2 linked regions of the Saccharomyces cerevisiae S288C genome follow. The protein of the gene in region 2 binds, or shares a complex with, the protein of the main gene of each other region. Each region holds a gene or a part of one and is shown on either strand. Other genes may lie near its edges. The genes, in order: TRM8 and TRM82. A codon is read from its position in the direction of its gene.

What was found.
Region 1: the proteins of TRM82 (region 2) and TRM8 are in contact, whole or in part, in a crystal structure (PDB 2VDU), measured with the Saccharomyces cerevisiae proteins. Residues at the interface, in NP_010449.1 of Saccharomyces cerevisiae: Asp172 (codon at 1,322), Glu189 (codon at 1,271), Leu192 (codon at 1,262), Gly193 (codon at 1,259), His194 (codon at 1,256), Val195 (codon at 1,253), Ser196 (codon at 1,250), Asp208 (codon at 1,214), His210 (codon at 1,208), Asp219 (codon at 1,181), Glu220 (codon at 1,178), His221 (codon at 1,175), Lys223 (codon at 1,169), His226 (codon at 1,160), Gln229 (codon at 1,151), Cys230 (codon at 1,148), Phe231 (codon at 1,145), Ile232 (codon at 1,142), Val233 (codon at 1,139), Asp234 (codon at 1,136), Lys235 (codon at 1,133), Trp236 (codon at 1,130), Phe238 (codon at 1,124), Gly239 (codon at 1,121), Lys241 (codon at 1,115); in NP_010080.1 of Saccharomyces cerevisiae: Tyr69 (codon at 1,414), Val71 (codon at 1,408), Ser72 (codon at 1,405), Pro73 (codon at 1,402), Met163 (codon at 1,132), Lys164 (codon at 1,129), Phe165 (codon at 1,126), Pro167 (codon at 1,120), Asn168 (codon at 1,117), Lys172 (codon at 1,105), Asn199 (codon at 1,024), Thr200 (codon at 1,021), Leu201 (codon at 1,018), Ser203 (codon at 1,012), Glu204 (codon at 1,009), Tyr207 (codon at 1,000), His235 (codon at 916), Pro236 (codon at 913), Leu237 (codon at 910), Thr282 (codon at 775), Pro283 (codon at 772), Ile285 (codon at 766), Leu286 (codon at 763).

What each region holds. Positions count from the first base shown.
Region 1 is NC_001136.10:97,415-101,178, reverse strand, and holds TRM8 (tRNA (guanine46-N7)-methyltransferase), read right to left. Parts: upstream 1,619-3,764; coding exon 758-1,618; downstream 1-757. Other genes in the region: MGT1 (methylated-DNA--protein-cysteine methyltransferase), read left to right, coding at 112-678; mitochondrial 54S ribosomal protein uL10m MRPL11, read right to left, coding at 1,955-2,704; ACK1 (Ack1p), read left to right, coding at 3,226-3,764. UniProt on the Saccharomyces cerevisiae protein: Methyltransferase that catalyzes the formation of N(7)-methylguanine at position 46 (m7G46) in tRNA, a modification required to maintain stability of tRNAs; its absence resulting in tRNA decay.
Region 2 is NC_001136.10:782,978-786,705, reverse strand, and holds TRM82 (Trm82p), read right to left. Parts: upstream 1,836-3,728; coding exon 501-1,835; downstream 1-500. Other genes in the region: exocyst subunit SEC5, read left to right, coding at 1-400; SEC1 (Sec1p), read left to right, coding at 2,491-3,728. UniProt on the Saccharomyces cerevisiae protein: Required for the formation of N(7)-methylguanine at position 46 (m7G46) in tRNA, a modification required to maintain stability of tRNAs; its absence resulting in tRNA decay.

The sequences.
Region 1 (3,764 bases), 690 kb from region 2:
CAGGGCATTTAAAATGCGGTGGAAACAAGGAAGATTAATCAAGTAATGATATAGCATATGCACAAAAAAAAAATTGAAAACGGTCGCATTTTTGATCTAAATGGACCAACGATGAAGGAACTGCTTTACTATACATTCATTGAAACTGAAGTGACTGGTGCATTTTTGGTGTTTAGGGAAAAGACTCAAAACCTTGTTTTTGCCTCGTTAGGTAATGATAAGCTTTTTTTATTGGGAAAGGTGGAAGGCTTCTTGAAGAAACATGAGAAACAGGATACAATGTACGATTTACAGGAACTAAAAGAGGCAGAAACATATAAGAAATCAATCGAAAATTATACAATATGTTTAGAAAACAAAATGCCATTACCATCGGGCGCTATTCCCTTTGAGTTCCTGTTTGGAACAGATTTTCAACGTAAAGTTTGGAATGAGCTTTTAAACGTGGAACACGGCCACGTCGTAACATATGGTGATATTGCAAAGAGAATAGGGAAGCCAACTGCCGCAAGATCTGTCGGAAGAGCTTGCGGCTCAAATAACCTGGCATTGTTAGTACCTTGCCATAGAATCGTTGGTAGCAATAGAAAATTAACCGGATATAAATGGAGCTGTAAACTGAAAGAACAGTTATTAAATAATGAAAAGGAAAATAGCTTAAGCCTTAGTAGATTGTAGTTGGATAAAGGATTTTAGGAAAATAAACATAAGAAATAGTTATGTATATGTGGTAAATTGTTCTAGTTATACATCTATGTTACAATATGGCTGGCGTTGGTAATCTTGTGAAACAAGCGACGAACTTGTCACCCTTCTTTCTTTCCACTTTTTTACCTTCTTCTGTGGCATTTCTCATTATTTTCACACATTCATCGTTTTCTTCCCATTCTTTGCTCAACCGTTCAAATAAAGGATGCTCTTCTAAATGTTTTACCATCCACTCATGCAGGTCTTTGACGTCTGTAATTGTGTACACGACACCGCCCTCTTTCAAAACATATGCGTACTCACTCAGCAAGGTGTTAGTGATAATTCTTGCCTTATGCTTTCTTTGTTTGAAATGAGGATCGGGGAAACAAAAAAACATTTTAGAAAGCTGGCCCTTTTCAAAAAAGTTGGGCAAGAATTTCATAGCGTTACCTCTCAAGACATTAATGTTTTGAAATCCATGTTTTGAAGCTGTATTGTTCCTTAAGGCAATAATTCTATCCTCCACGTAATTTGTAACCTGCACACGAATTTCCATCCCTAAGATAAGATCTTCAGGGAAGGCTGGTGATAAATCTATCATCAACCCACCGAATCCACAGCCAATATCAGCAATCGTCACCTTCTTTGTCATTTGTCCATTTTCCGCGTTTTTGTAGTAAGGGTACAATTTGGACCAATCCATATCCTGGGGAGATACTGGGTACTCTAACTGGTGATCTGAAAATGGGTTGGAATGCGCCCTTTGACGATAATATCTCTTCTTTGGCAAGTCGATCTTTTGGCCTTCTTGCACCAAAGAACTTTCATTGATCTTTACATGCTTCAACTCCTTACGATTTTCTTCCTTATTTATACGGTATGCGTAACGCTTGGAGCCTGGATCTTGGCTTAGTGGCTTGGCTTTCATCTTAACAATAAACGCTTGAAAATTTTATCCTATGGGAACTGCTGAATCTATACTAATCCAGCTTTTGTGGCGCTTTAATAAAGTGAAATGTCAGAAATATCCTGAAATTTTTTGCTGAAGTCATCACCAAAATTTTTCATTTTTTTTTTTTTTCAACGGTCGCTGAGATATGTAAAAAGGTAAGAAAGGTAAAAGAAAGGTAATTTTGACGTCAATACATAGACTAAAGTATATTTACCGTTATTGCTTCATTGTCTTTTTATTTTTTGATGATGTATGTACATGATTGAATAGTAAAACCTTTATAAAACTTGTCGAATTACGGGCATTTTCTTTTTACTTTGATCCCTTCGATTCTGCATCTGTAGTTGACTCCACATCCTCTTTAGGTTTTTGGTTGTCATTGTGAGATTTTAGTGTTAAATACAATGCATTTGAACTGTTTTCCAACGTACGAACCAAACCCAACCCACTTAGCATTTGCAAAACGCTGACTAACTGCGACTGCATTTCCGGCTTTGTGGGGAGAGTCTTAAAAGTGTTTATTTTTTCCACATTCAAAACTTCGTTTTCTACTTTTGCACCAATCACCATCAGCTTGTCTTGTGCTGACTGCAGAACCTTCAATAGCTTGGCTACTTGTTGAGGGTTGGTGTCTTCGTATGTAATTGTGGCCGTAGGACCCTTCAGTAGTGGCAAGAGTGGATGTTTCCAGTTTTGCTCTTTACGCTTCACGAATCCACATGGGTCGGGCAGATGCGAATTTCTCAAGTAGACTTCGAACAGGTTGTTTCTTACTTTTGTGAGTTTCCCTCCTGTCTGTTTAATCTTGAATCTGAAATGGTGATCTTCTGTTTTGGAAAGATTATTGTAATGGACAAAAAAAATCATAGAACTGTTCTCCATTAAATGCTTGTATGTATCGATGAGAAACGTCTTCCTCGAGTCCAGCGGCTTTACTGTCTTTCTTGAGGGTTGTTCAGAAGCCAGAGCATAAAATCTCTTATGTACTGTACCAATTGTCTCCTTCAAACCAAAAAAACCATTTCTGGGGACCCATCCAGGCATAAACCTTAGCTGCAACATTATTTATAATCACACTCCGCGCCCAAGCACTTCCAATAAGGTCTAAAGCTTTTGTTTTCCTTACTCTTCAATTGTACTAACCTTCTTTCTTTTCTCAGTTTACTGCTATAACTCTACGTTTTTTTCTGTATGAATCTCTACTAAGCCCTAGGGTTATTAGTGTATAAACGTTAGGTTACACTATGAAAAAGACTTGTTTAATAGGTCATATAGTAAAAAGCTTAGGTTAAGTGCCTTCAAGAACGAAACCTAATTTTAAAATTGACGACTAATTATCAAGTGTATTGAAGATGGCTTGAGATGAACCTTAGCACTGGATGCTATGGCTTGTAGAATAAGCAGATATCCCGGTAATTTAATTTGAGTTGCTCAAATTATATACAAGAACGTGGTAGAGACTGGATTTGGAAGCGTCTCTTTTTATGAAGTAGATTTTAACTCCGTTTTCTTTTCATTTCCTTCTATTCTTTTGTACAGAGTGTACCACCACGTTTTAATACTTTGTTTTAATACAGTAGGCAATGGTTAATCAGGGCCAACCGCAACCTAACCTCTATGACAAACACATTAACATGTTTCCACCAGCAAGGGCGCGGGAGTCCTCGCATAAATTGGGAAATGCCAATTCGGATAGGCATGGTTTGCCAGCTCAAAATATAGTGCCTGCACCCTATCCAGTGGATGACTCTATCGTTGAACTCACACCAGCTATTCCTTTTACATCCCCTTCATCTTCCTCATCATTATCGCTGCCTTTGAGTGCGCTGAATTTCACAGACGGGAATGCTGATGGTGGTCAATTAGGCACTCCAGTAACCATAAATAGTAATAACGGCATGGACATTTTTAATTCCAAGCCAACAGGTGAAATAGGATATGCCAATAATGGCACCAACAGTACTGGTAGTAGGTATGAACTTCCTTTCAATTTTAGTTCTACAAAAGAGAGTTTGGGTTCACCAGCTGTACAAGATGCATCAATAAGCAGTGGAAATCGAATATCAGAGTCTGTAAGGGACAACTCAGCGCCACCACCCTATGAGGAATCTGAATCTAGGAT
Region 2 (3,728 bases):
GTATACATCAAATTCATTCAGGGTTGGTGACTATATTATAGAAGCGTTAATGATTCTGATCGTGGTTCACAGTGAGTGCTTTAGAATTGGGCCTCAGCTCATCCATAAGATTTTAATTGAAACGCAGATTTTTATAGCCAGATACCTCTTTGAGGCATTTAAGCCTTATGTTGGTAATCTTTCTAATGATGGCTCATTACAAATTATAGTGGATTTGGAATTCTTTCAGAAGGTTATGGGTCCTTTACTTGAAAAGGACACCGAGGCCACATTAAGGGCGTGCTTACAAAACTGTTTCCAGAACGACACAAATAGACTACAAAAATGTATCAATGAGATTAATCCTATTGTATCTGCCAATTTAAAAAGAACTGCTATTCAATTCGCCGCCTTCAGCTAGAAACAGAGGTATAAAGATGTACTAACAATGATTATTAACACAAATCGGTACGTATCTTTTTTTATATTAGTTATAAAGATGTACTTACTACCTTTTTATTTCACGAGTAATGTTCTCCATGTTTTCTTAACGAGGAAACATTGTATAACGGGTAAATTTCTTCTTTCTTGGTCACCAAGTTAGAATCCCCTTGTACTGATTGTATGATGGCACTGTCAAATTCGTTTGATTTTTCATTATTCACGACAAAACTATTCTCATTTAAGTTATATTCAATGAATTTGGCAAAATTTTTTTGCACACCAGATGATTCCTTATTATCTAGGGTGACTTGGAATTCATCATTATGGGCGGATAATGAGATAACATTATATGGAAAAGTTATAATTTGCTTTAGTGCAAGATCCCCTTTTTGTTTTTCGGACATTTCCAGAATTATTATGCATTTTGTAGCTTCGACGAAAAACGCAACAAACGGTAGGTTCTTTGACTTTATAATTTTACTAACTGCAAATTCAATAATATCATTATTTTCATTTTGAAATCTTGGTGGTGCTAAATGCTGATCATTCAAATAAGGTTTAATCAAACTATTATAATCGAAGGTAGACAAGTTCTTACCAGTTTTCCAATCCCAAGCGAAGATTTTATCGTCACCACCTGCACTTAATAATAAATAGTCTTTGCCACAGCATATGGAAGAAACAAAATGCTTATGACCAAAGAGCCATTTGTCCACAATGAAACATTGGGGATAATGCGAAATTTTAATATGCTCATCTCTATCACTTGTAATTATGAATTGATGACCGTCAGAGTCTTTAATCAAGTGTACATCAGTCAACATAGAGACATGACCGAGAATAGGTTCTTGAGTAAACTTTTCTTCCGGGATAGAATTAATATCAATAGAATATACATCACCAAATTTGTCAGCTATTATGACTGTAGTATCATCTTCGGCTATAGAAATAGCATTCGGTCTCTTTGAGAAGCAGAACCTTTTTCTCAACTTTAAGACATTTTTGGAAGTTTTGTCGACATCGAAAACTAGGAGGGACTTGTCAGAATCTGCGCACGCAATTAGTCTTGATTCATCCGAAGTTAATCTCAGATTTCTTATGTACGAATATATCGGTGGGGCGCCAAGACCTGGAGATGGTACCTTGGCTGCTGTCCTTTTAATGGAATCGCCTTTATTACTTTTCAATTTTTTGTTCTCGTTTTCGTTTTCGCTGGATTGTCCTTGTTGCTCCTTAGCAGTGGTGTTTCTCGATTCTTGAATTTTGTCGAAATCATCAGACCATTTTCCAGCAAATTCCCAATGATTTGGCGATTGATATTTGAAGCTTAAGATACAATTCTTAATGATGGCGAAAACTAATGAGCCATCACGAGAGGTGAGTAAATTCTGCAAAGGATGAATGACGCTCATTGTAAAACACGCGGACTGCTTCAAATTGACAAACCTTGCTATACTTTAGCTGCTAATATATCATCAATACGCCTTTACTAGTAAAAAATTTTTTCATCTCATCGATTTTTTTCACCTCGCCATTTTTTTCGCTGATTAAAAGAAATGTATCTGAGATAAGTGCCATATTTAATGACAGCAGCGTAAAATAAGAATATGTAACGATACAATAAGAAAACTATGTTTATGTGTCACCTCTTGCTTGCGTCTTGGGAAAAGCATTCCCAATAACAGAATACTAAACCGGATGTAGTAGCCCTCTTAGTTTTTCTATCTAACATGTCCATCCTCCTGGATCAAAATATCAGTAATCTTGTATTCCTTACTTGCGATACAGCTATTATTACAGGCACTCTTTAAAAATCATCGAATAGCCGATCGACTACACACTTATCCCTATAACATGGTGTAAGTGATAGAGAGGTGAATGGCGGCGTCGTCTTATGTTCTCGCAATTATTGGTAGATGGTCACACAGCACGGTGTTTTTCTTTTGCTTAAACGATCAGTTTAAGTCCCTATTGAAACTAGTAAGACATTGCTTTGTAAGACCTTGAAAATAATTAGAATCCACTGACAAAGTAGAAGAGTGTGCACATGCTTGGTTTGGCGGAACGATGTCTGATTTAATTGAATTACAGAGGAACTATTTGATAGGGGTTTTGAATCAGATTGAGACGAAAAATAACTTGAAGTTTCTTATTATCGATAAAACTGTGGAGACAATATTGAGTTATCTTTTCCTCACACCCCAAGAACTTTTAAATAATGTCACATCTGTTGATTTGATTGATTCCCCAACAAGAAAAGGACAATCCTCCATCGAGGCAATTTACATATTGGAACCAACGAAATATAACATCAATTGTATCGATGCTGACTTCATGGTAAGACCACCTAAGTACAGAAGATGTCACATCAGATTTTTACCAGGATTAACAAACCCTATATTTCAGTTTTTTCAATCAAAACGTTACATTGCTCAAAATTTGGAGTCATTTAAGCCGATCGAACTAGGGTTTTTCGTCAAAGAATCTCAATTCTTCGAAACTTTACAAATGGAACACTCATTACAGGTTTTTTTCAACAACAACTGTAAGGCTTTGATTCCTACTAACGTGAGGAAGATTGTAGGCTCACTAGTTAGTTTGTGTGTTATTACGGGGGAATATCCGATTGTTAGATATTCTGTATCTAATCCTGTGGAAGAGGAAGATGCCCGCAATGGAAACGCCGTAGTCAACGCAAATTCTTTAACAAGGTCTATTGCAAACGCTTTCCAAATAGCGATAGATACATACGCTCGCAATAATCCAGATTTCCCTCCTCAAAACACTGAAAGACCGCGTTCCATTCTAATAATCACCGATAGAACACTGGACCCTTTTGCGCCAATATTACATGATTTTAGCTATCAAGCAATGGCTTATGACCTGGTAGCTAATGTGGACACACAAAAAGATATATATCATTATTCTGCCGAGAATGAAGCTGGTGAGCAAGAGGAAAAGGTTTCAAAATTGGTAGATTTGTATGATCCTGACTGGATTGATTTGAAACATCAGCATATTATGGATGCCAACGAATATATTCAAGGAAGAATCAAGGAACTGATTGCTAAAAACCCTCTGCTGGTTGATAGATCGAACGTAAAGAATACTACCGATCTGCTGAGTGTCGTAGCGCACCTGAAAGATTTTGATGAAGAAAGAAGAAGGCTGATTTTGCATAAGACACTGGTAGATGAATGCCTAGGAGAGAACGCGGAAAGAAAATTAGCGGATATTTCTGCTATTGAACAAAACCTATCCGGATTTGGAATGGATTTTAGTGGTGAGAAGATAAAGCATATTAT